2 linked regions of the Alligator mississippiensis genome follow. The protein of the gene in region 1 purifies or fractionates together with the protein of each later gene. This does not show direct contact. Links are inferred from orthologs where the notes say so. Each region holds a gene or a part of one and is shown on either strand. Other genes may lie near its edges.

Region 1 (8,774 bases):
AAAACAGGTAGCGAGCAGGATTTTTTTTCTAACACCTGACACATCCTAATTGCTTCAAGCAGGGAGCTGTGAAGCGCAGGTTGGAAAAAGGGAAATGCTAAATGCATCCGCCTAGGCCTGGGTTTGCGTGAACAGGAGCTTTCAGACACAATTTAGTCCATCTGGGGAAAATATACGCTGTCTTATGGAACACCTGAAGATTGCAAAATAAGTCTGGGCCTTCAGCTAGAAACTAGCAGGCCCATACCACCTGTGTCTGCATGGCTCAGGGCGGAGATAATGGGAGCTAGCTCCTTTCCGCTCTCCATTGCCAGTTCAAACCCAGTATAGATCAATGGTGATTGAAGCCCTCGGGTGGCCATTTCATAGGGCGAGTGCAATAAGTATGGAGGACTTGCTCTTCCTCCAAGGCCTTGTCTGCATTAGGGGTTGACCCCAGACACGAGTGGACCATTGCTGTCACAGCAGTAGTCCGATCCCTTAGCAGAGACTGGCAAAGCTATTCTCAGACACAGTTCATACCGGTGCATCTGCCAAGCAAAGGTGCCAGTCAGCTTTGTCTGTTTGCCCTGACACTAAGAGGCATGTGGCAATGGGGTGAAATCTTCAGGCAGACCTCCAGAACGCATGGCCGCATCTGCCGATCTACGCTGCCCTTGGACCTCAGCGGAGCCAGGCTGCTTTACGCCACCTGAGGATTTTGTCCCTAGCATCTGCATTCAGGAGCAGCACTGCTACATTTGAGGCTAATTAGCAGTTTCAACAGAGAGGCAGAGGAGGATGTACTAGCCTTTCTTCTCTGGAGGCGGTCCCTCCGGCAGGTCAGAAGGAAGGCACGCTGGTAGGACAGCTTGCCCTGGTACTCCCTCGGCTATCCGTGTTGGTAAATAAAGAACCACTGGTTCTAGGGCAGTCAGCTTGCTACCTTTCATCATCGCTGTATGGCATGCAATAATTAGCACGGGCCCGAGTCTGAGGAACTTACTTCCATCGCTGAGTGCTTACTCACGCCTATTGACTTAAAGAAGATGACTTGTGGGAATAACTAATAATAGATACAATCTTTTTTTTTTCCAGTCTTGCATCACTCGAAAATGGCTGCATTAGATGTTTTTCAAACTTTCCAACAACAAAAATTTTCACCTTGGCCAGAGAGCGAGCCTAAAAACTTTCAGCACCCAGAAAAGGGTGTTTTTGAAAGCTATGAGTCAGTCAAAAACAGGAGGTGGTAACTGCAATGTGTTTTACAGACTTGACTACAGTGTGCGGTACTTGAGGGAGAGGATAACATGGCAGTGGTTTGGAGGCACTACGTGGCCATCCATTAGTGAACCCAACGTATCGAATCAGAGTATGTCTCACATCTTATGTATTTATGCCATTTGGAGTGGGAGTATCTACACAGCCACTTTAAGGTGTAACGCTTTTGTTGGACCTCTAATTGCTTTGTGGGCCACTTCCAGAAATTGTGTGAGCATTTGTTTCCCTTTAGCAAAATACTTCTCCAGAAAGCAAGGATACTCAGCCTTAGGAAAATATTTAATCTCAACTCTAAAATGCCCTTAAAAGTCGCTCCCACCATGTGCAGCCTGTCTCTGGACAACTACAGTGTTTGAGATTAGAACTCTCTTTGCAACTATTTTATTCTGTGTAATCTTTGAAAATCAATTGTGGAGTTTTGTTTTGACTCAGCAAGGAGCCTGAGCCGCTGTGTGTTTTTTTAAATAGCAAAAGAAAACAGCGCTCACCAGAATTTCCAGTAAAACCCGTTAGATTTAAGCAATTCATTCTCCAAGTATGTGTGGGATGCTGGGAGCTCCCTGGTCTGCTCGGGCAAAATAGCCCAGATGGACTTCATCTGTAATAATTTAGCTCCCAGTGGCTGGAGCTCTTTGCTCTAAATGCTAATAGAGTGAGTAATCAGAAACCTACATCCAGTAAATTATTTATCTTATCTCTGGAACTCAGCAAAGCATCTCAGCCAGCGACTTCTGTGGAAAAAATGTTGGTCAAGAACCCCCGCTGGAATCTCCACTTTTACTAGAAAAGGGAAAAGTTCAGACACCAGTTTGCCTGCATGCATCAGGAAGCAATGAAGTAATGGCAATAATAGCCAAGACCAATCCAAACCAACTTCATCGGAACAGTAAAATGGGTCTGGCTTGTGTTGCTGATGCCAACCTTGACAGGCACTGTTACCAAACAGTCCTCTAATACTAAAAGTCAAGCAGCCTTGTAGATTTTTTCCCTTGGATTTGGACCAATAAAAGACGCACCATGTTCCCATAGAACAGATCAGAAATGGCCTCAACTGCTCCCGCTACATCCCTCCCTTTGCCAAAGCAAACAGCAAATTCGTCGTTTGACTCGACTGCCATCATCTACCGATGGCAATTATACCGCCTCCTTTAGCACGGTACGTAAGACGCTTGTAATCATGCATGTATTTATCCCCACAAGGCAGGGTGCCATTATCCCCATTTTACAGATGGGAAACAGCAAGGCTAAGGGATTTGCCCAAGGTCGAACAAGAAGTCTGAAGCAAAGCAGGGGCTTGAACCTAGGTCACCTCCTTGATTTAGTCTCATTTCCTCATCCCTTTCGTTCTGTTCATAGAGGCTGTATCCCAGCTACCCTTCACACCAAACATATTGCCCTACTGTGCCAAGGCACAGTGAAACAACCTTCAAAGCAACCAGCCTTTGCTTTTCTCAGAAAACCCCTGGGAGCACTCATCTCTCTTCAGCCTCCCAGTATTTCTGATCAAATTCAGACTGACTTCTGCACCAAGAAACAATTGAAAATAACCTTCTCTACATAGCTGTGGACCTGTTCCACCCTGTTGACCCAGGCTGAGTCAGTCTCCTTATACCCTTCGACCTCGGTGCACTGCGTGACACTTCCTTCTTGGAAAGCTTCGAACAAAACACTGGCATTGCTGGCTTTCTCCTCACCTGGCTGGCATTGCTGCTCCCTCTGTGCCTGCTTAGTCCCGGGTCCTCCAGCTAGACTGCATGGGGAACCTCAAAGCTCTCTTCTCACCCACCTCCTTATTCCAGTCTACCATCTGCCATTGTTTCAATCTAACCCTGCCTAGATCTATAGGGCTATGACACCTAACTCAACACCTTTCAATTTTACACCGACTCCTCTGTCAACTTCCTCTCTCCATCTGAACTTCCTCTGACAGAAATTCAGGAACTTCTGCACCAAGGTTCTCCGGAGCAAATGCAGCATAAACTCATTGATTTTCTGTAGTATTTTCTACTGCCAAAGACAGCGGCCAAGTTATGGAGGAAGGGGAACCATGCCACTTTCTAATTTTTGGAATATTTTGTGGAAAGCCTCAGGCATTATGTTGCATCATCAGCAGGAACATCTCTTTTTTTCTGCAGAAAGAAAGCAAGAAGAGGATAGGAAAAAAGCAAGAGGACGTGAGTGACTGGTGCCTCCTGAATCTGGGGGGGCACCCGCAGAAGCCACTGACAGTGGCAGCCCTGTCAGGGCAGGCACCAGCTGTACCGACAGTCAGTGTTGGCCATTGGGGGGGCACCAGCCCTGCTGGGGGGGCACGTGCACCCCCTACCAGTCACCTATGCACCTATCCCACTAAGGATATCCTGCACAGAGAATGCCTCACTCTTACTCCTTTGTCCTGACCGAATCCCCCACACTGGTATTCAGGGAGGAAAGGGAGGAGAGCTGCTATACCAGCCTATCCCACCTGAAATTCTTGCTAAGAAAGAGTAATTCCCAGTATTTCCCAAAAAGCGGCTTCCTAGCAGGGTAGTTGCACCGAAGAGATTCAAAACAACCAATACTGGGTGACAGAATCTAGATCCTAATACCAGTACTATGACATAGTCATAAGTTTAAGGGGATCCAAGACCTGAAAGTATTGACAAGGACTAAATGAATACTGCCTTCTCCATTGCCTTGCTTGCAGTCAGGTCTGCAAGATGCAGTGAGCCCTAACGCGCGTTGCAGCAAATTCTCATTTGATAGTGTTTTTACCCAGCAAAAAAACAAATGCAAGGCATGAAGGAATTTTTAACATGCAATCTATGCTGAGCATTTGTGTTTCATTCACCTTTGCACTGTTTTCATGTGATGGAGACCAGTCAATCTCACTTGTGTTTATAGCAAGTTTCGCTTTCGGGTTTCTGCAGTGTTTGCTTTGCAAGCACTGCTGGGAAGTGTTTGCTTGTTTTAAAAACAGTTGTTCCTGTTGGGACTTGTTTAAAGTCAAAATATTGCGGAAACGTTTCGGCTGGCCTTCGCTTTTGCAGCAGCTCCTTCATGCAAAATACGCGCTTGGAGGCCCCATCTGAGATGCCATTTGCCTATTAAAGGCTGCATTGAGCCTTCTCTACCTGGATACATACCAAAGGGTGCATATCACAACCCTGGACCCTGAACTTAGACCGGGACAATAAGCACACGATTGCTTCTTAGGAGCGATTTGAAAAAAGACGCGCCTGCCAGGCTGCAACAAGAGGTGGGGATGGCAGATGCTGCCTTGGAGAAGTCAACGAAGCGGGCTCCATGCCGTTTACCACATCTTATTTATGAGCGCATGTATATGGTGACAGAGGGTGGCCATCATAGAGGATGGTCCGGTTTTCTGCTACTCTGTCCTCTATTGATACCAAACCCGACGCCTTTATTTCTCTTCAAGAGAAGAGCAGAGGACACAAAGGCACCCGGTTTCGTATAATAGAGGACAACTGGACTGTCCTGCATGATGGCCACCCTAGGCACACGTGTGGTCGGGCCACAGACCAAGCGGTGAAGGGGAATTGAAGGAGCTCCTTGGCCAGAAGCTCTCCAGCAGGGGAGGCCTGCGCATCGGCGCTTCCGGAGCAGCCGCCCCGACTCTACGCAAGGCTGGGAGGAGCTGACCCTGAAATCCCTGCCGAGCTCCACCACCCTGCTGATGCAAGGGGGGCCACCGGCGCCACAGCCTCCCATGGCTGTGTCCCCCATAGGTATGCTGTGCACCTGGGATTGTGTCTGGAGGGCCCAAGGGAGGCACCGTGCAGAGACAGAGGGGACAGCGCCCCTGCCCCTCAGGATTAAGGGGGTGCAGTGGGGGTTTGCCCTTAAAATCAAGGGAGTTTGCTCCTTAAAATCAAAGGGGTGCAGTGGGGGCTTGGCCCTTTAAATTGAGGGGGCGCCCCCGCAGCACGTGCTGGGGCACGGGGCTCCCCTGCCCGCCCCTCTCTTGGCGCCTTTTCCTTCCCGCCACGTCTCGAGCCCGCCCTCCCCATTCTGACGGGCGGGGAAAGCCACGCGCCGCCCCTGATTGGCTGCGGCGCCCCCCCCCGCCCCCGCCGCCAGGCCCCGCCCCGCGGCTGTCCCCGGCCCCGCCCCCCGCGCTCCCCTCCCCCCGTTACTACAGGCTGCCGGAGCGGGCGCCGGCGCCACACGGGAGCACGGCACCGCGCGGAGCACCCGCCGCTGCCGCCGCCCCGCCCCGCCCCGCCGCCAACCCGCTGCAGCCGCCGCCCCGCCTCGGCCCCGAGCCGAGCCCAACCGACCCGCTGGCGCCCGGCGCGGTTCGGGCGGTGCCGGTGCCGGTGCCGGAGCAGGGCGACAGCGCGGGGATGCTGCTGTCCAAGATCAACTCCCTGGCGCACCTCTGCTCCGCGCCGCCCGGCGACCTGCACCCGGCCAAGCTGCCGCCAGGTGAGCCCGGGGCTCGCCCGCACCCACTCCGCAGTGGCCTCGGGGCCGTGCAGCCAGGTGTCGGGGGAGTGCATCCGGATCGGATCCGGGGGGGTCATGCTAATCAAATCCGGATTGCACGGTGGGGGGGAGGTGATCCGGATTGGGGCCTGGGGGTAACGCAGATTGGGTTCAGTCGGGTGCGTGCGGTTGCTCCGGATGGGCTGGTGCTGACCCCGCTTGTGCCCTGGCCCGCAGGGAAGGAGAAGGAGCCGCTGGAGAAGCTGTACCAGGTGGGCTCGCTGCTGGGCAGCGGCGGCTTCGGCTCGGTCTACTCGGGCACCCGCCTGTCCGACAGCGCCCCGGTGAGTGCTCGCCGCCTGCGCCCCCCTCCTTCTGCGCCTCCCGCTTGCCCCCGGCCGGCTCTGTCTGACGCGTGGTTGTGTTTGGGTTGCAGGTGGCCATCAAGCACGTGGCTCGGGACCGCATCTCGGACTGGGGAGAGCTGGTAAGTGGGGGAGACGAGGGCGCCCAGCACCCCGGCGCGGCCTGGCACGGCACGGCGCCGGCCGCTGAGCCCTCCCGCCCGTGCTGACGAGCTCTCTGCTCTCTGTGCTAGCCCGGCGGCACCCGCGTGCCCATGGAAATCCTGCTGCTGAAGAAGGTGGGCTCCGGCTTCCGCGGCGTGATCCGGCTCCTGGACTGGTTCGAGAGGCCCGACAGCTTCGTCCTGGTGCTGGAGCGGCCCGACCCCGTGCAGGATCTGTTCGACTTCATCACGGAGCGGGGGGCCCTGGCCGAGGAGCTGGCCCGCGGCTTCTTCCGCCAGGTCCTGGAGGCCGTCCGGCACTGTCACAGCTGCGGGGTCCTGCACCGGGATATCAAGGACGAGAACATCCTCATTGACCTGAACAGCGGAGAACTGAAGCTGATCGATTTTGGGTCCGGAGCCTTGCTCAAGGACACGGTGTACACTGATTTCGACGGTGAGCGACTCTTTCCATCCCCCTCATGTTTTACCTGCGTAGAGAGGAAGCCGGGGAAATTCCTCTTAGAAACGGGTTGTTCCCTCCCCCTGCCTAGTCAGTAATTTCCCAGCCGGGGAATGAGCTCGCTTTCTCTGTGCTGGCGTGGTTATCGGCTAAATCTATTTTGCTGGAAGCATCGCCTCTCCGAGACCTCTCAGGCTTGTCTCCCTGCCCTGTCCCCACATAACATTTCCCGCTAGGCGTCATGCCAGACATCGGTGGTGGCTGCCTGTCACGCAGGGGCTGCGTCTCCTTGGGCAACATGGCAGAGACCGGGGCTGAACTCGCTGGCAGGCTGATGCCTCTGTGAGCCCTGAGGATGGAGAAAGTTGAAGTCTGGGGCTCGGTTTGGTCCTGATGGACCCATTTCCCACCCCCGGGTCCATCTCTCCTGTAGCATAGGTTGGGGAAAGATTGAGTGAAAACCTGTCTGCAGCCATGCTGCTCTGATTCGGATCCTAACCTCATCTGGCAGCTAGAAAGCGAGGGAGAGGATATTGTTTTTCCTCTCCCAGGCTTGAGAGAGAGAGAGAAAGGGCTCTCGTGCTGTTTCCTTCCAGTGATGGATGGCCTTCAATATGGGGAGGGGGGCCACGAGGAGAAGGAAGCTGCCGCCTCCGCCATCTCGCTAAATTATTCATTTCGCTGGAAAGTTGCTTTTTGTCGGGGATGTATGTTGTGAAATTGGAGCTGAGGGAGATCTGCTTACAGCCGGCTCCCTTTCTGCCGCAGAAAGGCACCCGGGCCTTTGCCCTTTTTGTATTGGGGGGGAGCGTGGCTCGTGGGGAAAAGCATTTGACCTTTGAGCTTGGGCTCGGGCTTGCCCAGTGGGTGACGTAGGAGATTATTCCACCGTATATTCCGGCTTCTTCGGCGGAGGGCGGTTAATCTGCAAAACCCCCGCGTGTTGCCTGGGGTTTGTTTTGCTCCTGCCTCTTCAAATGGCTTGGCCTGCGCTGCATTTTTTGTTTTTAATGTAACGGTTAATGACCAGGGCTGGGTTCTTCCTCCCGCGGAATTTCTCGAGCTGGTGATGCCCCCTGGCGGGGCACCGGGGATCTTTTTACAACCGAAAGTTTGTAAACAAGAGTCACGTGGCCAGAAACCAGACTAGCAGCTCTGACCTCAGTCTCCTCTTCCTGCCAGAAGGGAAGAGATCAGATACAACAAAAGGCGAAGGGTGTAAGCCTCTGCAGCAGCAAAGCAGGCTGGAATTCGAGCCCAGCTCTAATTATCACATGCACAACTACAAACTGCTTGCCTGCCCGGGCGAAACTGCTCCCTTGATGTTGAACAACAAACGTTACTTCATCGCTTAGGAGTGGGCTGGCCTCACGTGCGGCTGACTGTATTCCCTTTTATGGGGTAGGCTGCTATACAGTCTAGCAAGCCGCCTCCTCTCTGGGATGTAAATGATATTGCCATATTTGCCCAGCAGAGCCTTTTATGGAGAACTGATTGAAAGGTTGCCTGGATCCCTTTTTTGATGCAGTAGATGAGGTCTCAACCCTTGGATGCTGGGTGACTGGACTGAAGCATTGGCAGTCTGGCTTCAGGAGATGCAGTTAAGGGTCTCAAGTCCATTAAAGCTGGAAAGTGTGGTTGCTGCTTGTGTTTTGTTTGGTCCTGCTTCACTTCGGGGCCATGTTCCTAAGCACAGCCCTGCAGTCACCAGGAGCTTTGCACTGTCAAACTACCTGTACTGAAGCTTCACACTTGAGTTATTGCAACCTAAAGCCTGGAGCTTCAGCTACCTGACTTGCTGTCTTGAAGCCACATTCATGCCGTTGATTAATTCAGTCGGCTTTTAATCATTCCTGTTTTTGTTCTGATGCCTAGGCTTAGACCAAACACTTTCCTTATAGCGAGTTTTTGCTCTTGTCTTGCAGGCACAAGAGTGTACAGCCCCCCAGAATGGATTCGCTACCACAGGTACCATGGCAGATCAGCTGCAGTTTGGTCACTGGGCGTCCTGCTTTACGACATGGTCTGTGGGGACATCCCTTTTGAACATGATGAGGAGATTGTGAGGGGCCAGGTTTACTTCCGGCAAAGGATTTCACCAGGTGAGTGCTCCCC
Region 2 (7,888 bases), on another chromosome or scaffold:
GAGAAGAGGGGGAATACCGTTTACCACATAACATGCACCTTTCCCTCACAAGTCAGCCACTCAACATTGAAGTGTGCATTTTAAGCAAGAAAGCTGGTTTCTTCGCTAGAAAAGGAGCACTTCTGGAGGCACAATGCATGTTGCGTAGGGCATCTGTGTCTGCTCAGCAAACCCAAGGGACAGAATCCTGTGTTAACTCTCAGTCACAGCTTTTGGGTGAGCACTGCAGCTTGTGCCCAAAGCAGCCAGGGAGTTGCTGGTAATACCTTGATGAGGTTTCTGATATGGAAACAACAGTTTACTGGAACTTTTATGAAAATGACTTACAGAAAAGTAGTAACAGTCTTGTCACTGCCCTTTGCAAGAGAGTCTGGGGCCTAACCTTATGTGACAGAGTGAATCCTCCCAGAAACAGTGTCCAGGAAGTGTGGCATCACAAGAGACAGTGTGCCACACCAGAAAGGTCTGCTAGTCTTTTTTAAATTGACTAGCACCTCTTTAAGCCCTAAACACTGTAGTACTGAGGACTCAGTAGTGAAAGTGACTACCCCAAAATTAAGCTGATTTGAGTAGGGAGGGTGCTGGCTGTCAAGCAGTACTAAAAAACAAAAATAAAATGATACTTGTCATTGTTTGCTTTTTATTTGTAAATGTTCCCTTATTAATTACCTAAGAAATTGAAAGTCATAAATAAGTGCTTGTACTGTACAGTTTAGATAGAGAAATATTAGGGGTCCACCTATAGAGATTTTTTGGGCCGATACCAATGACCGATTTTTAAGGAGCCATATTGTCCGATACAGATCCAATTCCAATATGCAGCCAGGCAGCTTGGAGAGCAGCATCAGGCTAGTAAGTCTGTTGTGGGGGAAGGGAAGGGGCATGGGGGGGCAAATTGAGGGCCCCCTCCCCCACCCCATGGTGAGGGAGGGAGTGGAGGAGGGACTGCTCAGTTGACGTGGGGCAGGGTGTGGAACAGAGCCACGAGTAGCTCATCCAGGGGGTGCAGCTCTTGCCACTTCACGCACCCCAGGAGGGCACGTGGGGTGAGTGCAGGACAATGCTGGTCTCTTCCCAGTGGGGGGGAGGGGGGGGCACTAAGCTGAACTCTGTTATGCTGTATTTGGGGCAGGCGGCAGCAGTGCTGAGAGAAATGGGGGGGGGGGGGCTCCAACCACTCCAAAATTCGCAGTCCCTGGCCCCATCCCACAGGAGCAACCTATCCCACCCTGTGTGCAGGTCTGTGGGTACACCCCCCTATGCCCTCACAGGGTGCACACAGCAGTGGGAGCTGCCACCTCACCCTGTCTCTACATCCCCTGGACAAGCTGTTTGTGGCTCTGTCCTTTACCCAACCCCAGCGGAGTAGTGCCTGCCCCAGCCCCACTCCCTCCCCCAACAAACTTACCAGCCCGACACTGGTCTCCAACCCTCTAGCTTGTGTTCCTGGCCGCATGCATGCTGCTGCTGTGCACATGCAAGGGCCATTTATTAGCCACATTTTGCCTGATGCAGCCAATAAAGAGCTGATTTCCAAAACTGTCAGTTTTCCCTATATCGGTGCCAATCTGATATGGAACTGATGCATCAGTGCACCTCTAATAAATATCCCATTTACACATCAGCAACAATTTATTCAGTCTATACAGAAGTTTTGTCCAATCCCATGATTTGACTTAGAAAAAAAGAGATTGGTGCTAGTGTCTCCACTGAACAACTGACTGCCTGTGCTTTTTAAAAGTACAATTCCTGTGTTAGAGATAAAGTTGTTCCTATTCATACAGGAATAATTCCATACTTTTTGTCTGAAAAAAAAAAAAAATGTTTAGAAGAGATAGATCAATTACTGATCCGTGAAGGGTGATAAAACTATTACTATGTAATTTGCAATATAATTATCTATATCCCCTGCGACTAAAAATAAGCCTAGCTTATTTCAACTGTAAAGTGGGAATAGTATTGGTCATACAGGCTTAGGGGCAAGATAGTTTGTGTTCATACAGTACTCTGGGTATGTAAAGAGCATCAAGATAAGTATGTCAGTAAAAGTTTTAAATGCTAAGTTATCCCATGGAAAGTCAAACTCTGCTTTGCCATCTGGGCTGCAATTACTTAAGACCACCAAGAGCCAGCAGGGCTACCCAAAGTGCTAGCTGTGCTTTAAAGATAAATTGTTACCGAAAGCCATTTTAATCAAGCCAACTTCACTGAAAAGGTACAGAAAACGATTTGGTGCTACAGCAGAATAACAAGCCTCAAGATGGATTTAGGCAGTGTTTACTAGTATTGAGAACTGCCAGTTCAGGAGAATCCACCACTGACAATTATGAGTAATGGCTCAGTACTGGTAGAGGTCAAGGGTCTACTCCCTTTCCTCTTATTTTAGCACATGAAAGTTCATAAAAATTGCTCTTCTAGACCAGACCCAAAGTCAGCTACTCTAGTAGTACTCTCCCTCCCAAAGCAGCAGACATCAGATGCTTCAGAGGAAGGTGCAAGAAGCAGAGGCAGGTGCAAGACAGCACGTCCTGTCCCGTCCCACCCCTGCCCCATCTCCCTCTCAATGTGAAACACTGAGAAACTGGACAGCACTGGCTTAAGCTGTTTCTAAGCCGCTGGGGGCCGCATGCCACAGGGCAGCATTGGTAGGGGCTGTGGTGTGCACACATGACCCCTGCTGCACCGCACCCCCCCCCGTGGGTGCCTCCCCCCACTGCTGCACCGCACACTGCAACCCCAACCCTACACAGCTCCGTGTCCCATACCGCGCCCCGCCACAGTGGCAGGGCACAAGGTGGAAGCTGGAGGATGGAGGAAACGCTCTGTGGCGGCCAGAAGGATGTTACGGCAACTGGTGCCAGGTGGGGACCAGGGGCTGCCAGAGGCCACGAGTGGGACCGCCCCGGCCTCAGGCTCTGGATGCAACGCCCAGGGCTCCTCCCCGTAGCGGCGGCGCCTCCAGACCTTCTGGCATCCAAGCGTCATTTCTTCCCCAAACCTCACGACGCTTCTTTTCCTCACACGTGCCAACGTGCTCGGCTTCCTCAGCGCCCCGTGCGGCTTGCCCCAGCGCTCCCGCGACACGGGGAGCGACGCAGGCAGATGCTAACAGGGCCCAGCGACACCCAGCACAAGCGGCTCCCCTGGGGCGGGTCCCCGTGAGCGTGAGGGAGAAGACGCCCCCCAGCCGGACCCGTCCGAGGTGAGGATTACAGGAACCCGGGGGGACAGGAAGGACCCTGGAGCTCGAGGAAGAAGCGAGGCTGCTGCAAGGCGTTGGCCAGGCTCCTTCACCCGGGCGGGGGGCTTACACAAGCCTGAGCCCCGACGGCCAGGGCCAGGGCCACCCCCCAGGAGCACTCCGCCCTGGGAAAGGCCAAGGCCAAGGCGGGGGAGGGGCCGCGCCCGAGTCCCGCCGCTCGCTCCCCGCCTCTCTCACCAGCTCCGTAGCAGCCCCGACGCACACCGGAAACGTCTCCTGTCCGCTGCGCTGCGTCGTGCCGTCACTTCCGCCTCCGCCAGAACTCCAATCCGAGAGCACCAACCCTAACCCCCCACCCCATCAGCCCGGGGCGGGGGGTACACTCTAGCCGCCAATCGGAGCTTAGAATAACGCCGCCACCGCATCATGGGCTCGAGAGGGTCGGTGTGCGCATGCGCAGAAGTCTACCGCCTGCGGGTGGGGGTGGGGCGTGCGGTGTCTCCGCCCACCGCGCTCAGCTGCGAGACCCCTCACAGCCCCCACAGAGCCACGTGGCACAGGGAGTCCTAGTGTACCGCAGACTCCGGCACCTGCCATCCTATGGCCTGCCGGTCAGGTGCTGAGGGGGTCGCTCAGTGCAGTGGGGTCACCCCTCCCCCCTTCAGCGGTCATCACTGAGTGCCGGTGGAGGGGCAGGGCCCGTGGGTGCGGAAAGGGCTGGCATCCACCAAGGGATGAGCGAGCCAGCCTGGCGCCTGCTGCTGGGCTCGGCACCCTGGGCGCACCTGAGAGGCACGCGCTCCCCAAGCAGGGGCTCCCTGGCTTTCACACGGGGCAAAGGAGCAGCCTCCTGGCACCTACGCGCAGGGCTGGGACTCGGCCAAGCCTCCCTCCGAAACACCACGGGGCACCCGCGTCTCCGCAGGCAGGGCGCCTCTGATTTGGTGGTCTCATTGCACAGCTACACACGCAACACGTGTCTTGTAGCCCCACGCTTTAGCAAGGCTGAGCTCGGCCTAGTGACTAAAACGATCAGCTGCCATCTGGTGCCCTAGAAAACCATCGCGTTCAGAGCACAAGGCAGGGTGCTCACGTATTAGCCCATTACTCACTCCAAAAACAAGTCCACCCTACTTCCTTAAACTTCAACACTCCTTAGGCCTCATAAATCACGCCCCTTCCCTTCCCGTAAGGTTGGCTCACCACCCGCTCTATTAAAGGAATTTGTTTTCTAGTCACGGCCGGGCCATGCAGGCTGCCTTGGAAGTGATTTAAATGAAGCAAGGCAACATTTTTATTTTCATGGACACATTGACCTGTTAACGAAGGGGATTTCATCCCCTGCTGCATGAGAAATAAAATGGGCTCGTTCTGCTTTGAGCAGGGGGTTGGATTAGATGTGACCTCCTGATGTCCCTCCCAGCCCTCCTGTTCTGTGACTCAATTACATCACCATTATTACATCACCATTACATCTGGGAACTCTGGCTGGACTGGGTTGACCGTAAAACACGAGAAAGCGATATTCCTACTTTGGGGCCGTGAGCTTCTGGGTCAAGAACACCAGTGTTTATTGATGTATTGTTTCATGAATTTATCATAATGTGTTTGTGCCTGAAAGCTTGCAACTAAAACATTTTTTTTTTTTTTGCAAAAATCTTGGTGTAATAAAATATATCATCTCTACTACAAGTCCTGATTGCCTTTTCAGTACACATTTGAGGTTGTGCCTGAATTGGCCCAAAGAATCATCTTTCACAGCAGCTTTTATCACTGCCTGTAATGCAGGTTCTGAATTTCTAGCTTCATTTAATATTGGGAGTTCTGCCATCCCAAAGCCTGCCAATCTGGCCTAGATTTATAGTGTTGTTGATGTTAAGGTCAGCTACACATTGAATAAGCTTCTAAGACTTTTCTAGTTCCATTGTTTCTGGAAGTTCTCCAAGACTCACCCAATGTTTTATGAAATGCACTGGAATAAGAGGCTCTAGCTGCCACCTCCTACCCTGTATAAGTAGGTGTAGCAAAATTTCATGTATGAGTGGGTACAGGGCACATCTACCAGCTGTTACACATAGGTTGGGTATAATTATTTCAAGCTTATTTGGCTGCTGTATCTGACTCCCAGATAGAAATGCAAGATTAGAAAATGCATTACAATTCTCTCTCGCTCATGGACCAGTAAGAATCAGAAAATAGAGTTTTTCGGTTGCCAGACATGCCCAACAACCACAACTCAGGTGCAGGAATAGTCTGTCACATGAGAACACTGGGGAGCGGACCAGATTCAGAAACATTTTACCCCTCATTTTTCATCTCAATTTTGGAGAGGTATGGATTAAACAGAACCTAGGTTTTGTTTAGATTTTGTTTTGCAGTAACAAAATCCCGCTGATGACCTTGCAAAATGAACCCCAGTTTTTGCATATTACTAGCCTCTCATCTTTCTATCAGATTTTTCTTTATAAAATCCCTGTCATCTCTCTGTTCCCCTTCATTTTTATTAAAATCAACCTTTTGATTGACAGAGTCAGGAAAATGACCATATCTTGTTTTGCTCATAATTTTCTAAAGAAAAAAAGCTGTGCACTTTACTTGTGAACTTGCTGATCTTGCCAATTTAAAACTGAGCTTCTGACTGTATAAAGAACAAAATGATTACAGTAGCTGAATTAACAGTGGTAATAAAGGTCATTGTGGAATAGATTCTCTGACCTTCTAAGGGGACACATTATTTCATCTAGCCGTTTAAGAAAGTGATTGCAAAGACACCATCCTCCAGCTAATTTAATAAAATGCCCATATGCTACATATAGGTTAGTGATGTACTATACTCCAAATGAATAATTCTATATGCCCTAGTTCCTATTAAACTATCTTCTATTTTGGAATATTTTTTTCTGTTGAGTAATTAAAATCTTAATCTCTTTATATTTATTTTCTTTAGTTGACTTTCCATCACCCTCTCCTCAGTGCAAGGAACTAGGGCATGGTTTCTGTAACATTTTTGTTTAAGTTTAAGCAGCAAACACTTCAGGCAGTAATCAATATTTGCTCTGTATTCAGTACTTAATGAATTGTTTGACCAGCTGTAAGGAAAAAAAATCCAAAATATTGTTTTTAAATTAGCAACTGTTTGGATTAGTAAATCATTTGCTAATTCATCCCAATTTTTTGCAAATGGGCTTGTGAACTGTTAGGGTGGGTTGTCTGAAATCTGTTTTCTTCAATTTCTAATCCATTTATGGAGCTGTTAGTCCATAAACTGCAAAACTTTACTTTGACATTAGCCAAATACTTATGCACCATTTTACATTGTCAAAATAGGACTAATGTGGTTGACTTCAACAGACATTCTTCCCAGAAGTACACTTCACTTTGAGAGAGGAATGTGCTTCCTGGCATGCATTTTCAGTTGAAAAACCAATCACACTAATCACGAAGCTAGGCTAGCTGAGAATTATTGGAGTATGTGATTAAAAGGCTTGCCTCTTCAGCAAGGGAGACATCACTGAAATATTCAAGCTTTGCTATTCAACTAGATGTAGAATCAAAAAAACTAAAAAGCCTAGAAGTTATGGACTTGTGATATCCAATAGTAATTTCCAAGCATCACGGCATGGATGCTACTTTAACTATACATAGGATCTCATTTCCTACAGCACAGTAGAAGAAGCATTTCCCATTATTTACACTGAAAGGGAATGTTCACTGCCTGTTTGAGGCAACAGGTGCTTTCACTGAAGCAGCATCTGTTTTAACAAGTTTAGTGGCTTTGGCTTGTTAGAGAACCCATATGGGCTCTGAACAAGTCCATACTCAAATGCTAATTAATTTGTACTAATTACTGTCAAGTATGATAATTCTATCAACCGGTAGATTTAAGAAGTAGTGCATATATAATTATATCCACAAAATTATGTGCAAGGTGAACAGCAAGGTTGCTTATGCAAGATCCCTAGAACTGTATGCACAAAGTTAGGTATGTATTTAAGTGCAAGGGAGAAATCAGATTCCCACTGGTTCTTCTCCTTGTAGCCTGGTGGTTGATGGCTTAAGAATGATATGTCACGCTTTGCTTTTTGGGAATTGGCCAACCATGGTCATGCAATCCATATTTATAGCCAAATTCCAGTCGCTAGTATGTTGTGACCATTTTGAAAAGGAAGTTATGAAAGGAGCCAAAGTAACAGTACCCAGAAATAGAGAAGTGAAGTTGCAGTCTAGAAACACATGCATAATTCGGGGGGGGGGGAAGGGAGGCTGTTTCAGTACTAGACAGGAAAGCTTGGACAAGTTTCTGAGAAGCTAACATACTCCAAGAAGGATCCTGTTAAAAAGAAATTGCCCCTCAACTATGGACAAGGCTGTTTTACACTAACAGAGTACTATTGAACTTAATAGTCTTACTCCCGATTTTTGTGCAAGCAGGAGCTGGATGGGGACATGGCTCTGATCCACAGAGGGTCAAAAATTCCCCACTGATGGCAGTAGGTACTGAATTAGGCTTGAATATAGTTAAAGTCTCTCTATGCATAGAGAGAGCCTGAGCCTGCCTTGTTGAGATCTATAAAAACAGACAGTAGATTAATCTGGATAGAAAATGTTCATGCCAAAACCTTGAAAATGAAGGAAAGAGCAATAAATTGTCACTGACACCATTAACGTTTTCCCTATGGCACATGG

Evidence for each region.
Region 2: the proteins of PIM1 (region 1) and EDC3 purify together in Homo sapiens (affinity purification with mass spectrometry; 3 studies listed by BioGRID and IntAct, counting the BioPlex papers as one, with this or other methods). This does not show direct contact. The link is inferred for Alligator mississippiensis from reciprocal best matches to the Homo sapiens genes PIM1 and EDC3.

The regions. Positions count from the first base shown.
Region 1 is NC_081837.1:35,905,854-35,914,627, forward strand, and holds the start of PIM1 (serine/threonine-protein kinase pim-1), read left to right. Parts: upstream 1-5,444; 5' UTR 5,445-5,606; coding exon 5,607-5,688; intron 5,689-5,925; coding exon 5,926-6,032; intron 6,033-6,124; coding exon 6,125-6,175; intron 6,176-6,286; coding exon 6,287-6,653; intron 6,654-8,584; coding exon 8,585-8,761; intron 8,762-8,774. UniProt on the Homo sapiens protein: Proto-oncogene with serine/threonine kinase activity involved in cell survival and cell proliferation and thus providing a selective advantage in tumorigenesis.
Region 2 is NC_081834.1:41,705,381-41,713,268, reverse strand, and holds the start of EDC3 (enhancer of mRNA-decapping protein 3), read right to left. Parts: upstream 3,597-7,888; 5' UTR 3,440-3,596; intron 3,347-3,439; exon of another isoform or gene 3,022-3,346; intron 1-3,021. UniProt on the Homo sapiens protein: Binds single-stranded RNA. Involved in the process of mRNA degradation and in the positive regulation of mRNA decapping. May play a role in spermiogenesis and oogenesis.